Notamacropus eugenii: one gene and its partner. The protein of the gene in region 1 interacts with the protein of each later gene in a pairwise test. Links are inferred from orthologs where the notes say so. Each region holds a gene or a part of one and is shown on either strand. Other genes may lie near its edges.

Region 1 (7,339 bases):
AGCAGCTCCCATGCCGAGGCACAGCCCAAAGTGGCTTTCTGGATAATCAGCCTTCCACGTCGGATGACCCGGACTGAAAGCCGGGCTGGGAGCCGCTGGGTCAGTGAGAAGCGTCATCGGCTTCAGGCAATCCGGGATGGACTTCGGGAGGGAGCCCACGAGGAAGCCCCCTTGCGCCTTCGCCCTGTGCCTCACAGGGCCCATTTTCTCTATTTCCTAAGGCCCCCTCGGCAGCTGTAGGCTCCAGGGTTGGCAAAGAGGCAGGCTGAGGGCAGATGAGAGGTGAGGATGCCTGCATCGGCCCCTCCATCCCCTCGAAAATAAATAAAAGTTCTATCTTCAGTGAAAACAGCATCAAGGCTGTCTGTCATCTCCGGCCAGTCTCGGTCATAGCAAGGCCCTGGGCTCTTTCATCTGTCTCTACTCTCCTGTTCCATCACTGCAACCTGAAGTAGAGAAAGTTCCTAGATAGAAATCAATAGACTTGAGTTCTCGTCTGACCTCCAGTGCTTTGGGCTAGTCACTTCTCAGATTGTCAGTTTCACCATAAGTAAAATTAGCATAAGGAGATTTGTTCAGCCTAGAGGCCGAAGGGCTACCCGAGCCTTTCTTACCTGTCGTCCAGGTCTTCGGAGATCAGCCGGATAAACGTGTTGAGAGAAGAGACTTTCCAGAGTCGAACAAGGGTTAGGCTTTATTCAGGGTCTTAGTTACATGTGCAGGGTGAATTCTTCCTCAGGAGAGAGGAATCCTCCTCCTCCCAAGAGGCAAGGATCGTACAGCAAGAGGATGGGAGCAGAAGAGGGGGGGACCCTCTTCCCTCCAAGGGCCCCTCAGCACGAAGAGCGCCTTCAGGCTTTCCTGTCCCTACTTAAGCTCTCCCGCCGCATAGTTTGCACGTGGATACCATGCATGCTCTCAGCCCCTAGCTAGTCAACAACAGGTGTGCTCAGACCACGGGCCAATCTCAAGGGTGGGATGCTCTCCCCAGCAAGTTTCCCACTGAGAAGAGGTGGAAATGCACGAGATAGCCCGTGTTTCATGCCTCAATTCCCAGCTGTTCCCTGGGGGGCCTCATAAGAACTCTGAGGTTTAGAAGTCCTCACCTTTACCTGCCCGACACTGTCCACGTGAAAACTGAGCTTACACCCCCAACAGAGATTAAAGTTTTCCTCTAGCCAGAAGATACCAGGTGTAGGTGTGGGTTCATCCTTTGTTGCCTAAGAAGACCATGCCATCAGAGAAATGATGACATGATTTACATTTGACTTTGTTTTCAGTGAGGGAGGGCTGTGCAGGTCACCAGCCTCAGTTCTCCTCCAGAGCCTGAATCCAGTGACCAGAGATACTCATCATGATGACTGGAGATATGACCCAGGATGAGGCAATTGGGGCTAAGTGACTTGCCCAAGGTCACACAGTGAGTGTCAAGTGTCTGAGGTGAGATTTGAACTCAGGTCCTCCTGACTCCTGCACTGGTGTTCTATCCACTGCACCACCTAAGTGCCCCTAAAAAAAAGTCTGAGACCAGATTTGAACTCAGGAAGATGTCTTCCAGACTCCAGGCCCAGCACTCTACCCATTGCACCACCTAATGCTCCTTAGACAGTTGATACTCACTAGCTGTGCGATCTTGGGCAAGTCACTTAACCCCAATTGCCTCATCCTGGGTCATCTCCAGTCATCCTGATGAATATCTGGTCACTGGATTCAGATGACTCTAGCGGAGAAGTGAGGCTGGTGACCTGCACAGCCCTCCCTCACTCAAAACAAAGTCAAGTGCAAGTCATGTCATCATTTCTCTGATGGCATGGTCTTCTTTCAACGAAGGATGAACGCACACACCAGGTGTAGGATCTGAGACACTCCCTCTCAGTCTCTCTAGAAAACAAACAAAAAATGACCTCAGGGTAGAGCAGGGTAGACTGGGTCACAGCACCCAGTCAAAACCACAGCTCCAGATTCTCCACAGACTGACTTGTTTACTTTTAGCAAAGTAAATGCATTAGTTCAGAATAAAATAACTTAAGAAAATACAGGAAGGATACAGTCTCCCATAGCTTACTGCACCAGTGGTGAAAGATAACACAGAAGTGAGACCAGGGCACATAAACGGGAACATAAAGAGAACCTATGTGAAAAGGTACATGCCCCAGAAACCCTTGGGGCCAGAGCCATTCTCAACCTATGGTTTTGCAGGGCTGCCTAAGTTCTCTCAGGAGATAATACTTGCTCTGCTAGGTATCTCCCCAGTTGTATGGTTGTATTTCAGCTCTTGCTGGGCAGCTGCTGGCTTTCCTATCTTCAGTGCAGTGATTAGTTAGCCTCTCCTTGACCGGGGCAGGCTGAGCTTTTTTATATATAGCCCAGAGCTAAACGCTGGAAATCACCATACCTAGCTAAGAACAGCCAAATAAAAAGCCAGTCAAAGTGGCCCTTTTCTAAGATCTTCTGTTGTTTAGAATGCTTGTGTCTGGTGTTAATGCCAAGTCTTAGATTCAGGATCAGAAAATTCCTTTCTAACCTAAAGGAACGAAAAAGGTAAGGTCATTTGCTTTCCATCCTCCTGACCTAATAATGCATCTCCTGGGTAGCACAAAACTTCATTTGCCCTACCTACCTGCCAAGGGTATTGGAGGAAGTGTTCTGTAAATCTTACAATGCATTAGAATGTGAGTTATTTCCAACCCCACTTCCTGCCCGTTATAATGGATCGTGCCTAGTGGTCCTTATCATTTGTGACCCTATAGAAATAAAATCTTCAGATCATCTCCAGTGCCCTTGGTTATCCGCTGTCATGTCCCTAGGACAGCCAGCCCTCTAAGAGAGCCTTGTGAAACATTTTGTCCCATTACAGAATAGTTGGTGTCCTACAAGAAGAGTCTTTTACAATTACCAGCATTAAAGGGTATGGCTTGGAACAGCTGTTTGAGGTGCCATAACTGGCTTGGCCACCAGAGGATGCTCAAAGTTAGTTTCCACAGCTCCCACCTGTGTGGGTGCACAAAGTACCTAGCAGTCTCACCTTCCCAGCCTCTTTTAGTGCTTTCTGAGTGGACCATGATGTAGAGATATTCCAATAATACATTTCTTGACGCATGCTCCATCCAACTGGAGTTCAGCTTGGTCCCAAGGAATTCACATTCAGCATATTGACAAAAAAAACCCCATTTATCTTGCAATGTAAAGCTGAAGAATAATACCTGAAGAGATAAAGTTCCTCCCCCACCCCCAACCCTGTTGTTGAACGTATCTGTTCACTTTCTCGGGGTAGGAGGATGATCCTCGGGGACCTAAACCTGGAAGGAGGAAGGGGAAATGTCCCCACAGTGCAGCCTGCCGGCTCCAGCTTCTCTGGCACAAGTGGTACCCAGCCGGCACCCCAGCCAGCACCCCAGCCGGCATCATGTCAGCACCCCAGCCAGCATCCCAGCCGGCACCCCAGCCGGCATCATGTCAGCACCCCAGCCGGCATCAGGTCAGCACCCCAGCCGGCACCCCAGCCAGCACCCCAGCCGGCACCCCAGCCGGCATCATGTCAGCACCCCAGCCGGCACCCCAGCCAGCATCCCAGCCGGCACCCCAGCCGGCATCAGGTCAGCACCCCAGCCGGCATCAGGTCAGCACCCCAGCCAGCATCCCAGCAGACCTTCTGGCTTCTTTAACCCTTTTTGAGGCTGATGCCCGCACCAGGAGGGTTCCCGGCGGGCTCCCCCGGGGCCATCCCCCCAGCCACCCCCAGCTTCTTCACCAGATCTCGTGTGGCCAATGAAACCAGAGGCTGAGGGGAGACGGAGGGTGGGGAATGCTTGTGGAACTGTTGAAACAAAGGCTGGGAAAACTCCCGTTATTCCCAAAGGGTCCCCGGAAATCAGACCCATTGGGTGAGTGGGAGTTAGGGGCTGCTTGTTAAAGGGGCAGGGTGCGAATTTGGGGAGGTGTCGCTTGTGGATGGCTCTGCAGGAAGCTGGGTAGGCCAGAAGGGGGAGCCCCCTTCCCCCTTTGATTCCCCCCTTCTCCACCCCCCACCCCGTACGCCCCAAGGTAAGGCGGGGGTGATTCTCTGTCTTGGGGGGGCCGTGCTAAGCTTAGCACTCAAGTGTCCTGAAGACTCCCTGGAAAGGTTTAGGCCCAGGCAAGATGGGGGTCCTGGCTGGGGGAGGGGGCAGGGGAAGAAGCGGGGATACTGACGGCCCCAAATGGCCCAACAGAAATTCTTTCCCCGCCCTCCTTCGGGCTGGACTGGGAGAGAGGCGAAGGAGGGCCTTTGCGCAGGCGCAAGCCTTGGCCACGACGCATGCGCATGGCTCGCCAACGGTTTGCCGAGCACTCCCTCCTGCGCCTGCGCCTTGCCTCGAGGAGGGGCGCCCGAGGCGCATGCGTACCCACGACTGCGGCTTCGACGGCAGGGGCTCGCTCATTCTGGCGGGAAAGGCTTCCGGCCCAGCTTCCTGCCAGTTGTCGAAGCCCAAGGCGGGCAGCAGGGTGAGGGGCGAGCTCCCCACCGTGACTGAGCCGGCCGAGGAGAGAGGGAGCCCCGAGCCTCTCAGAGAGGGCCCCCAAATCTGTGAGAAAGGGGACCCCGAGCCTGTCAGGGAGGGGCCCCCCAAACCCTGTGAGAAAGGGGACCCTGATACTGTCAGAGAGGGGCCCCCAAATCTATGAGAAAGGGGACCCCAAGTCTGTCAGAGAGGGGCCCCCAAATCTATGAGAAAGGGGACCCCAAGTCTGTCAGAGAGGGCCCCTCAAATTCTGTGAGAAAGGGGACCCTGATACTGTCAGAGAGGGGCCCCCAAATCTGTGAGAAAGGGCCCCTGAGCCTGTCAGAAAAGCCTCTAGTTCTATTATAAAGGGCCCCAAATAGTGCTGGTAAAATCCCCCAGCCTCTTAAGATACCCCCCCCAGATGTAGTCAGAGAGAGGCCCCAAATATCAGACCTTGAATGTTGCTGGAGACCTCAAGGATTCTTTTGGATGGCCCCCCACAACCCTACAGGAGTAGGGAGCCAGAGAGCCCCCCAGCCTCTTAGAAGGAGAGTGTCTCCCAAACCCTGGCAGGTGACCTCCCCTCCCAACCCCTTAAGAAAGAGGCCCCTGAGGTCCCCCCCAATCAATACGTGAAAGAACCCCAGGGCCTTTGAGCTCCCCCCACCCCCAGCGAGGCCTGGCCCAAGTGCTCTGGGGCACTTGGGGCACAAGGGAGAACAGGCTCTGGATAATGATCTGGTTCCACGGAGGCCAGCAGGCCATAATTAAGATGGAAGACTGAGGGGTACAGGCCGGGCTGGTTTCAAGCCTCAGTCCTGCTCTTTGTCCTTCCAGGGAAACAGTGGTGGCATCAGCCCCTTCCCCTCTTGAGGCTCAGGAGCCAGGTTCAATGGATACTGTGGAGAGCCAGGTGCCCAGACCCGCCAGCCTGACTTCAGAAAGTGGGTAACTCGTGTCCTCCCAGGGTGGGACTGGGGGGCGGGGGGGTGGGGGTCAGTGACGGGACCTCAGGATCCCAGAAGGGACTTGTCCCAACAGGTGGAGGGAGGCAGCTGACTCAGCTCGATGGGGTCTGAGGCGGGGTGCGAGGTGGGGATGGTGCAGGGAAGTCAGCTCTGGGATTCGAAGGAAGGAAACAGAAGGAGGAATGAAGCAGCTGACTGTGCTGCTCCCCAAAGAGGACGGTTCTAGAGGAGGCTCTTCTCCAGGTGGTGAGAAGGGCAGAGCACTAAGGCAGAAGTGTGGGTATGGGCGAGGGCCAGGATCCAGAAAGACCCCAGGGAGAAAGGGCCAGGTGAAGCAAAGGCTTAGAGGTGGGAGATGGACCCATGAGGTCAGGGTGGTACCGCTGGAGACTGGGGGTCCAAGCCAGGGGCTCCAAGAATCCTGGCCCTGTTTCTTTTGAACTGTGCTACCTTGGGCTCATACCTTATTTTGGCTGAATCCCAGTTTCCTTCTGAGCCAAACAAAACATTTTTACCCTTAGGTGAGCAAGTTACTTTCTCTGGCATGTAAATTAAGGAGTAACCTCTAATGAGTCTCAGGAGGAAGTGTTTAGGGGATGAACTTGGGAAGTGTGCCAAGGGCAGGGATTTTGTGGGGCCCAGATGCTGACCAGGATCTGTGTCCAGGTCCTATGGAGTCAAAGTGAACTAGTGGTTCCCAGCCTCTCGCCTCCCAGGTTCTCCCACACCACCCTGTGATGGGCAGCATTCTGGGGGATGGGCTCAGAGGTGAAAAGAGCAAAGTCTGTGGTCATATTGCTGGTGGGAGGCCACAGGCTCAAGGAGGAGGGGGTACCCAAAGCCAAAGGGGGGACTTCTAAAAGTGACCCAGGAAAGCAGCCTGTGTGCTGGACAGCTTCAGTAACCCATTCCAACCAGGGAAGACTTAAGGTTGTTTTCAGGGGTTGGAGCCTGGTTTGTAGAGAGAGAGGTGAGTACGCAATTTTATCACCTTCCCAGCTCACTTTGCAGAAGTCCAGTGGAAACAAAACCTCTGAGAGTTAGAAGGCCTGGGCTCTAAGTCCTATCTCTCTACTTGCTGGCTGTGACCTTGCCACTTAACCTCTCAGATTAACCTCACTTAACCACGCAAAGATCTGTTTTCCTTGTAAAATGGCATGTAGGCTAGCTCTAAATGCCTATGGCTGGTCCCCTTTCCAGTTCTAACACTAACACGCTGATCCCCTCAGACCAGGGAGTTTATCTAGGTGTAAGCAGCCCTGGGCCTGCAGAGGTGGTCCAGAGACTGCAGGCCTGAGCTGGGTGGGGCAGGAGGCTCCTGAGTCCACATTAGCCATGCTTCCCAAGCCCCCTGACCCCTGGAGTGGGGGGAGAGGAGCTCAGGGAGCATCTTTGCTGGGTCTCTGCCTGTCAAGTGTCTGAACCAAAGCCGACGTGGGTGCTGCTGGACCAGAGGGGAAGTGCTATCCTGGAAGTGATTGTCACAAACTGAGGGCAACCCTGAAATAGGGGCAACCCTGGGGAGGTTCCACCTCAGAATTTGTAGTAGCAGAGAAGAAAGCAAGGTATAGTGTGACACTTTAGATTTGGAAGAGCAGGTCAAAAATGTAGGTATAGGATAGGTAGCATGTCTTTGCATAAAATTCTGTAGTTGGTCCAGGAGGGCTGTCAGGCTCCTAAGAATGAAGTTCTGAAGATACAAAGGGAAACATTTCTGATAAAAAGGGAAAAAGAATGTCATGTAAATAGACGAAGGTCTTCTAAGAAAGCACCAACCAATTTAGATGTCATAAAGATAGCAGGGAATCACAGATGCCTATGGAATCATGTGATACATCAGGATTAAAGTTCAGAGTGAGCTGAGACTGGCAATCAATGCTAAAGACA
Region 2 (7,422 bases), on another chromosome or scaffold:
AGATGCTCCTGACTCTGTAGGCCACTGTTTTCCTGTATTGTAGACAAATTTCCTGCATTGATGTCTAGAACCCATTCAGATGGATCATGTGTCTTAATCTGTCTGTGTCTTAGGGAGCTTACAACTACAGGAGGGACCAGGATTGTGCCTCTCCGACTCTCCCTGTAGGAAGAATGGCATGGGTGGCAGCAGTGGCATCATCATCACCATCCTCATCATCGCTAATGTTTAAATAGTGCTTACTATGTGCTTTACAATTATGGTCTCATTTGATCCTCTCAACTACCCTGGGAAGGAGATGCTCTTATGAGCTTCATTTTACAGAGGAGGAAACTGAGGTAAACAGGAATTAAGTGACTTGCCTCAGGTTCACACACCTAGTAAGTATCTGAAGCAGGATGTGAACTCAGGGCTTCCTGACTCTAGGCCCATAGCTCTATCTACTGTGTTGCCTAACTGAAAAAATGCCAAACTTAAGAGTAACCTCTTTGTCACGTCTGATCCTGTGTCACCATGGACAAGTCACTTAGCCTTCAAGGGCCTCTTTTTGCCTTACCTACAACCTGGGAGTGATAATACTACTTCATGTTACCTACTCTACCCCAAAGTTGTGATCAGAGAATTTTGACGACAGGAAAGTATTATAGAAATGTGATCTTTTGTTATTAGCTTAATGAGATTCTTTCCTATTATATAGGGTATCCCAAAAGTCTTAGTGCAGTTTTAAACTCTAAAAACCTAAAGTCTATAAGATGAATAGTGTATCTTTTCTCTTTCCTCCAAATTGCCCTCTACTGCCCAGGATAGGGCTTTGCCCACAAGGAATACCAGAGGCAACTAGGTAGTATAGTCCATACAGCACTGGACTTGATTCAAAAAGAACTGAGTTCAAATCCTATTTCTTACACAAATATGGAACCCTGGACAAATCACTTAACCTCTCTGCCTCAGTTTCCTTAACTGTAAAATGGGTAACTGTTATAGGCACCTATCTCACAGGGCTGTTGTGAGGACGAAAGCACTGTATGTGTGCTAGCTTATTAAGTCTCCTTTCTGATGGGTCTTTTCCCTGTCCCTTTCTCATCTACTCAGTCTCTTACCCTACCTTCATTTCCCATTCAGAATAGTTCTTCCTCTCCCAAATTCTGCCTAAGAACTAAGGTGGTTGTGCTAGTAGGAATTTCTTCCACAGCCCTTGAGTACTAGAAAGCAAGACTGGGGGTCTGGGGCTTTTCCAGGGAGAAATGGAGTACAGTCAGTCAGTAGGTATTACCTTGAATCCATCCATGCTTCTGCAGCTGCTCCTCAGCAAACTTCATCCCTCGACTCTTGGTCCCTGAGGTGACGCTCATGTTGAGAAAAGGATTAGTCTCTGTCCTTAATGTCTCACCAGTTCAAAAGTGGTTACTATTATCCCTCTGAAAGAAAAAAAAAAGCAGGCAAACCTACCACTCCCCATCTGGTTCTACTATGAGCAGAACACTGGCCTGGTTTCTGAACTGATCTAGACACAGTAAGAGATGTGGTTCCAGTTCTTTAAAAATAATTTCCTATGGACTGGGGACAGTTGGAGAAATATTTTGAATCACATGAGCATCGTTGGACTAAGCATAAAACCTCCAAAAGGGACCAGTGTCAAAGGAATCCCCTTCATTTGGACCTATCAGTTGCTTTAACAAGCAAACACCACCTTAGTCACACCTGAAAAGACGTGACAGCCCTGGGACTGCATCCTCTTTGGTCTCCTTGAAAAGATCTCTCTCCTCTGGAGAGGATCTGCCTCTACTTCAAAGGGGACACTCCATCTCTAGTCTCTGCATCTTTGCCCTAGCTGTCCCCATTACCTGGGGTATTCCACACTCTCCCTTCTGCCTCTTAGTGTCTCTGGCTTCCTTCAAGACAGCTCCAATCCTACCTTCTGAAAGGGGCCTTTCTTGGTCTCTTTAGCTAAGGCCTTCTTCCCCTTTCTGACTACCTCCTGAATATCGATCTTCTAAGTACCTAGATATTTACAAATACTCAGCCTCATTAGACAGTAAGCTCCTTGAGGACAAAGACTGTCTTAGGGATTTTTTAAAAAAATATATATCCCCAACCCTTAGCACACTAAGTAGGCACTGGATAAGGTCTGACTCATTGAAAGTAGAAGTGTTTAGTCCAGTGCCCCCGGCACGTAATCAGCATTTAATAGGAAGCGGAGACGTCCGCTTTGCTTTTATCCCCCGCACTTAGCACCAAGCCTAGCACGGAGCAAGCGCTTAATAAGCGGTTACTGATGGATTCCTTGGGGGCAGAGCCTGCTTCTGCCTGTCTCGGTACCCCGGCGATCAGCACCGTGCCAGGCGTGAAGGCCCGCTGACTGACGCCCGCGCCCCCCTGCACGGCCCGCCCCGCACGGCCCGCGCCCCCCTGCACGTCCCGCACCCCCCGGCACGGCCCGCCCCGCACGGCCCGCGCCCCCCTGCACGGCCCGCCCCGCACGGCCCGCGCCCCCCTGCACGTCCCGCACCCCCCCGGCACGGCCCGCCCCGCACGGCCCGCGCCCCCCTGCACGGCCCGCCCCGCACGGCCCGCGCCCCCCTGCACGTCCCGCACCCCCCGGCACGGCCCGCACCGCACGGCCCGCGCCCCCCTGCACGTCCCGCACCCCCCGGCACGGCCCGCACCGCACGGCCCGCGCCCCCCTGCACGGCCCGCGCCCCCCGGCACGGCCCGCACGGCTCCCCTCCCTCCGCAGGCGTCGCCAGCCCTTCGGCGATCTGATCCCCAGCCCTCGGGCTGCAGATCCCAAAGGGCAGTCTCCAGCCTCCACGTTTACCTGCGCCTCTGAGCACCTCTTCCTCCCTTCCCGTGCGCTGGCAGCTTCTCTCCGCTGAAGGGAGCCGCTCACAGGAGTGTCAGGGGCCGCTCCCCAGAAACACGCGGAACCCAACCGCTGCGCGGCGCCATGTTTCCGGAAGGGCCGCCTTCGGGCCCTTGTAGCCTGCAAAGACCATGGAAGGAAGCGCGTAGACCATAGAGTTCCGGTCCTCCGAGGGGAGGAAGCGCCCGACCTCTCCCGGAAGCGGGCTGGAGCTCGGGTTGCTACGGAAACGCGAACGCTTTCAGGCTGCGTTTCGAAGCTGATTACGTGTGTGGTGGGACGTATGAAGGGCAAGGGTCGTCCAAGCCCTCCCCGTCCTCCGCACCCCCAGCCTCTTTTGAGTAAGAATAATAACAGCTCGCTCCATAACAGGAAGTCATCCAAGTCTTGTCAGCATCACGGTCCAGATTTTACACGTGGCCGAGAAGGCAGAGTGGGGTCAGAAAGACCTGAGTTCCATACTTAGCTGTGTGGCCCTGGGCAAGTCACCTCAGTTCTTAAATGCCTCAGTCTCCCCATCTGTAAAATGGGGATGATAATAGTCCCTACCTTACAGGGTTGTTGCTCAAAGGTCATCTAAGCGAAAATATGTAAAGCACTATACAATGCGCCTATTATTATTACAGTTTGGAAAACTAAAGTTCGGAGGAGTGGCTCAATGAAAAATCATTTATTAAGTACTTAACACGTGCCATCCGTGCTAAGCCCTGGGGACACAAAGAGAGGTAATGCAAGTAGCGTGCATTCTAATGGGAGATAACATATAAAGAGGAGCTGGAAGCGAGGGGGGAGCCATGTGCAGCATCCTGGTTTAGAATAGCTGAGAAGTGACCGTGGAGAACGAGCTTGGCACCTAGGAGCCCAAGTCCCAACGGGAGGGAGATGAGACTATGGCTCCTCACAAAATTAATCTGAGGGTTGGAAAGGAGTCAATTAATCCGGTTGGTTGGTTGTCCTTCGTTCTTGAAGAGGACCAACATGACATCACCATGATAAAGTAAAATTTCAGTGTGGTCTGACTTGGCTGATCAGAACAACAGGAGCTCAGAATGCTCTACCACAGGTCGGGCACGGGTAGTCCGTGTGAATATTTGGGGTGGATACCCAAAATTTGCGCATCCTGTGTTTACTTTGTGCATCCTATGTTTACTTTGTGCTGTCTCAATTCTTCTTTGCTCATAGAGTACAGCACCCTATCTGATATGGGCACGCCATTCTGAGCAGTCCTGTGCCAGTGTCTCCCATGTTGCACAGTCAAATCCAAAGTTCTTGAGAGAGACCTTCAGAGTGTCCTTGTATCGCTTCTTCTGGCCACCATGTGATCACCTACCCTATGTGAGTTCTCCATAAAATAGTCTTTTTAGCAAGCATATATTTTGAATTCAGACAATGTGACCAGCCCATTAGAGTTGTGCTCTCTGAAGCGTAGTTTGAATGCTTGGCAGTTTAGCGTGAGCAAGGACTTCACTATCTGGTACCTTATTCTGCCAAGTGATTCTCAGAATCTTCCTAAGACAGTACAAATGGAAGCGATTCAGTTTCCTGGCATGGCACTGGTAGACTGTCCATGTTTCACAGGCATACAACAATAAAGTCAACCCAACAGCTCTGTAGACCTTCAATTTGGTAGTCAGTCTAATACATCTTCTCTCCCGAACTTTTCTTCAGAGCCTCCCAAACCCTGAGCTAGCTCTGGCAATGCATGCATCAACCTCATTGTCAATGTGTACATCCCTGGAGAGTACACTACCAAGGTAAGTGAACTCATCCACAACATTAAAAACTTCTGCATTTGTTGTAACAGATGGTTCCATGTATGGATGGTGTGGTGGTGGCTGATGGAGCACCTGTGTTTTCTTGATGTTAATTATTAGGTCAAAATTAGCACAGGCAGCAGAGAATTGATCCATACTTTGTTACATCTCAGCTTCAGAGGCTGCATTGAGTGTACAATCATCTGCAAACAGAAAATCATGCACCAACACTCCCTCCACTTTGGTCTTGGCTTGTAGCCTTTTCAAGTTGAAGAACTTATCATCATTATGATAGTTGACCTTAATGCCTGTGTTCATCCTTATTGAAAGCATTTGACAACATGGCTGAAAATATCATGCTAAAAAGCATGGGAGCAAGCACACAGCCCTATTTCACTCCATTGGTGACTGGGAAGGCATGTGAGCATTCTTCACTATGCAGAACCTGGGTAAACATGCCATCATGAAATTAACATACAGTATTGATGAATTTCTCCAGGCAACCAAATTTTGATATAATTTTCCATAAGACCTCATGATCAACGGTGTCAAAGGCCTTGGTCAGATCTACAAACATTGTATATAGATCTCTGTGCTGCTCCCAGCATTTCTTCTGGCGTTGTTGGACAGCAAACACCATATCAACTGTTCCTTGGCCCTTTCTGAAGCCACACTGGCTCTCAGGTATATGACCATTTTCCAGGTGAAGGATCAGCCTATTAAGGAGGACTCTAGCAAGAATTTTGCCAACAATGACTAAGAGAGAAACCTCCCTGTGATTGTCATAGGACAATCTATTCCCTTTACCTTTATAGGGATGGACAATGGAGGCATCCTTGAACTCCTGGGGGATAACCTCCTCTTGCCATATAACCTGGAAAATTTCAGTCAGCTTTTGTATGAGCAATGGTCCCTCTACCTTGTAAATCTCAACTGGAATAGTATCAGCACCAGGTGCTTTGCCACATGAAAGGATCCTAATAGCCCTCAAAACCTCTTCTTCAGTTGGAAGTTCAGCTAAGGAGGGATTGACTTCAACCGGAGGTAAATGGTCAATGGCCTCAGCATTGATTGATGATGGTCTGTTGAGAACATTATGGATGTATTCAGTCCATCTCTCTAGGATCATGTCCTTATCACTAATCAATGTGGCTCCATCAGCGCTGAGAAGTTGTGCTGCACCATAGGTTTTTGGTCCATAAATAGCTTTCAGGGAATCATAAAAGTGCTTTAAATTGTTGCTATCAGTATAAAACTGAATTTCATCTGCCTTCTTACTGAGCCAGGGTAGACACCCCCCTAACTTACCAATGGGTTTGAGACTCCTTGGTTACCCTCAACTTGGTTTGGCCTGTCTGCTGAAATGGTTTACCAGGGTGTGGCCACTGTGCATGCTATAGCTTCTTGGAGCCACACGTGAGAGTTGAGTGGTACAGGTGGACACCAAAGGTGGAAAGAGCCCTGAAAAGGGCTTGGCAGCCATCATACCAAAGGTAGTGGTCCTCCCTAAACACACCCTACACCCCAGTCAGTTAATCTGTTCCATAAAGAAAGAAATCCTCATTACAACATACCTGACAAGGGATTGCCAAGCCTGGACTTGAAGACTTCCAAGAATGGTGAACCTATCACCTTTCAAGGTAGCACATTCTGCTTTTGAACAGCATTAATTGTTAGGAAGTTGTTCCTGAAAAACAAATGTAATTTTTTTTTTTGCATGTAATTGGGGAAAATAAAATGGAAGGAGGAAGAGGAGGAAGGAGGGGGAAGTGATGGGGTGCTTGGTTGCATGTGCTTTGGCCTCGATTTTAAAATCACATTTCTCTTTAAAAATCACATTTCTCCCTAACCTCAAAACACTATCCCAGGCAGTTTCTCCCCAGCCCAAGGACACAACTTGTCCTAGCAACAACCGTTATCTCCTTTCCTGCTCTAGTAGCCAGCTGTACCTATAGCACTCATTAGTTTGAACCAGCTGTGTACTGGTTTAACGGACTGCGTACTGGGTCATAACGACATTTACTACTCACTGACCTAGTACCCTAAACTTAGACATACGTATACTCTCTTACATTTTTCTTGTCTAACAAGACATTGATGAGAACAACCTGGTATTTCTGAGCCAGCCCTGATGTTGGTTGACTTAGTGATATTTCAGGCCTAAAACCACACCTCCAGGTAGCCCCTCCTTGAGTTATTTGCTGATGAATTTTGGATAAAATACCTGTGCAATAGACACCAAAAGCGCATGTTCCTTTAAGAACTGACCACTCCTTAACCACTCCCTAATCTCAACCCGAAACACCTATAGAATACCCTATATAAACTTTCCCTGTACCCCTTTAGGGTTGCAGGTTCCCTAAGAACACTTGCCCACTGAAAAGCATAATAAATTTTTATCTTGACCTCAACAAAGCTTGAGTCCGTGAATTCTTCTCTAAACGACCTGGTACCCTGGTCTTTGTGGGGGGCTCTCATATCCCTCTTCCAGCCCTCATCTGAAGGAGGAGGAGAAGGAAGAGAAGAAGGAGAAGGAGATGAAGAAGATTGTTCCTGATATGAAGCTGAATTTATACAAATTGCGATTTATACAGATCACTCCAGGTTCCACCCTGTCAGGCTAAACAGAATCCCTTCTCCATATGACATCTATTCAAATATTTTAACTAAGCCATCATGTCCCCCAAGAATCCTCTCTTCTCCAGCCCCCAAATGTCCATTCTTATGTAGGATTATAGGTTTTAGAGCTAGTATTATTAGTTTCTCTGGACAAAGCCCTTCATTTTATATATAACAAGACTGAGG

Evidence for each region. The genes of interacting proteins can lie anywhere in the genome.
Region 2: the proteins of KASH5 (region 1) and GPATCH4 interact in binary tests that used the Homo sapiens proteins (3 or more experiments, as listed by UniProt). The two-hybrid records come from large-scale screens. The link is inferred for Notamacropus eugenii from reciprocal best matches to the Homo sapiens genes KASH5 and GPATCH4.

What each region holds. Positions count from the first base shown.
Region 1 is NC_092876.1:12,584,750-12,592,088, forward strand, and holds the start of KASH5 (protein KASH5), read left to right. Parts: upstream 1-4,259; 5' UTR 4,260-4,297; coding exon 4,298-4,485; exon of another isoform or gene 4,486-4,567; intron 4,568-5,321; coding exon 5,322-5,428; intron 5,429-7,339. Other genes in the region: DKKL1 (dickkopf-like protein 1), read left to right, coding at 1-240. UniProt on the Homo sapiens protein: As a component of the LINC (LInker of Nucleoskeleton and Cytoskeleton) complex, involved in the connection between the nuclear lamina and the cytoskeleton.
Region 2 is NC_092873.1:380,745,577-380,752,998, forward strand, and holds the start of GPATCH4 (G patch domain-containing protein 4), read right to left. Parts: upstream 3,009-7,422; 5' UTR 2,819-3,008; intron 1,419-2,818; 5' UTR 1,353-1,418; coding exon 1,274-1,352; intron 1-1,273.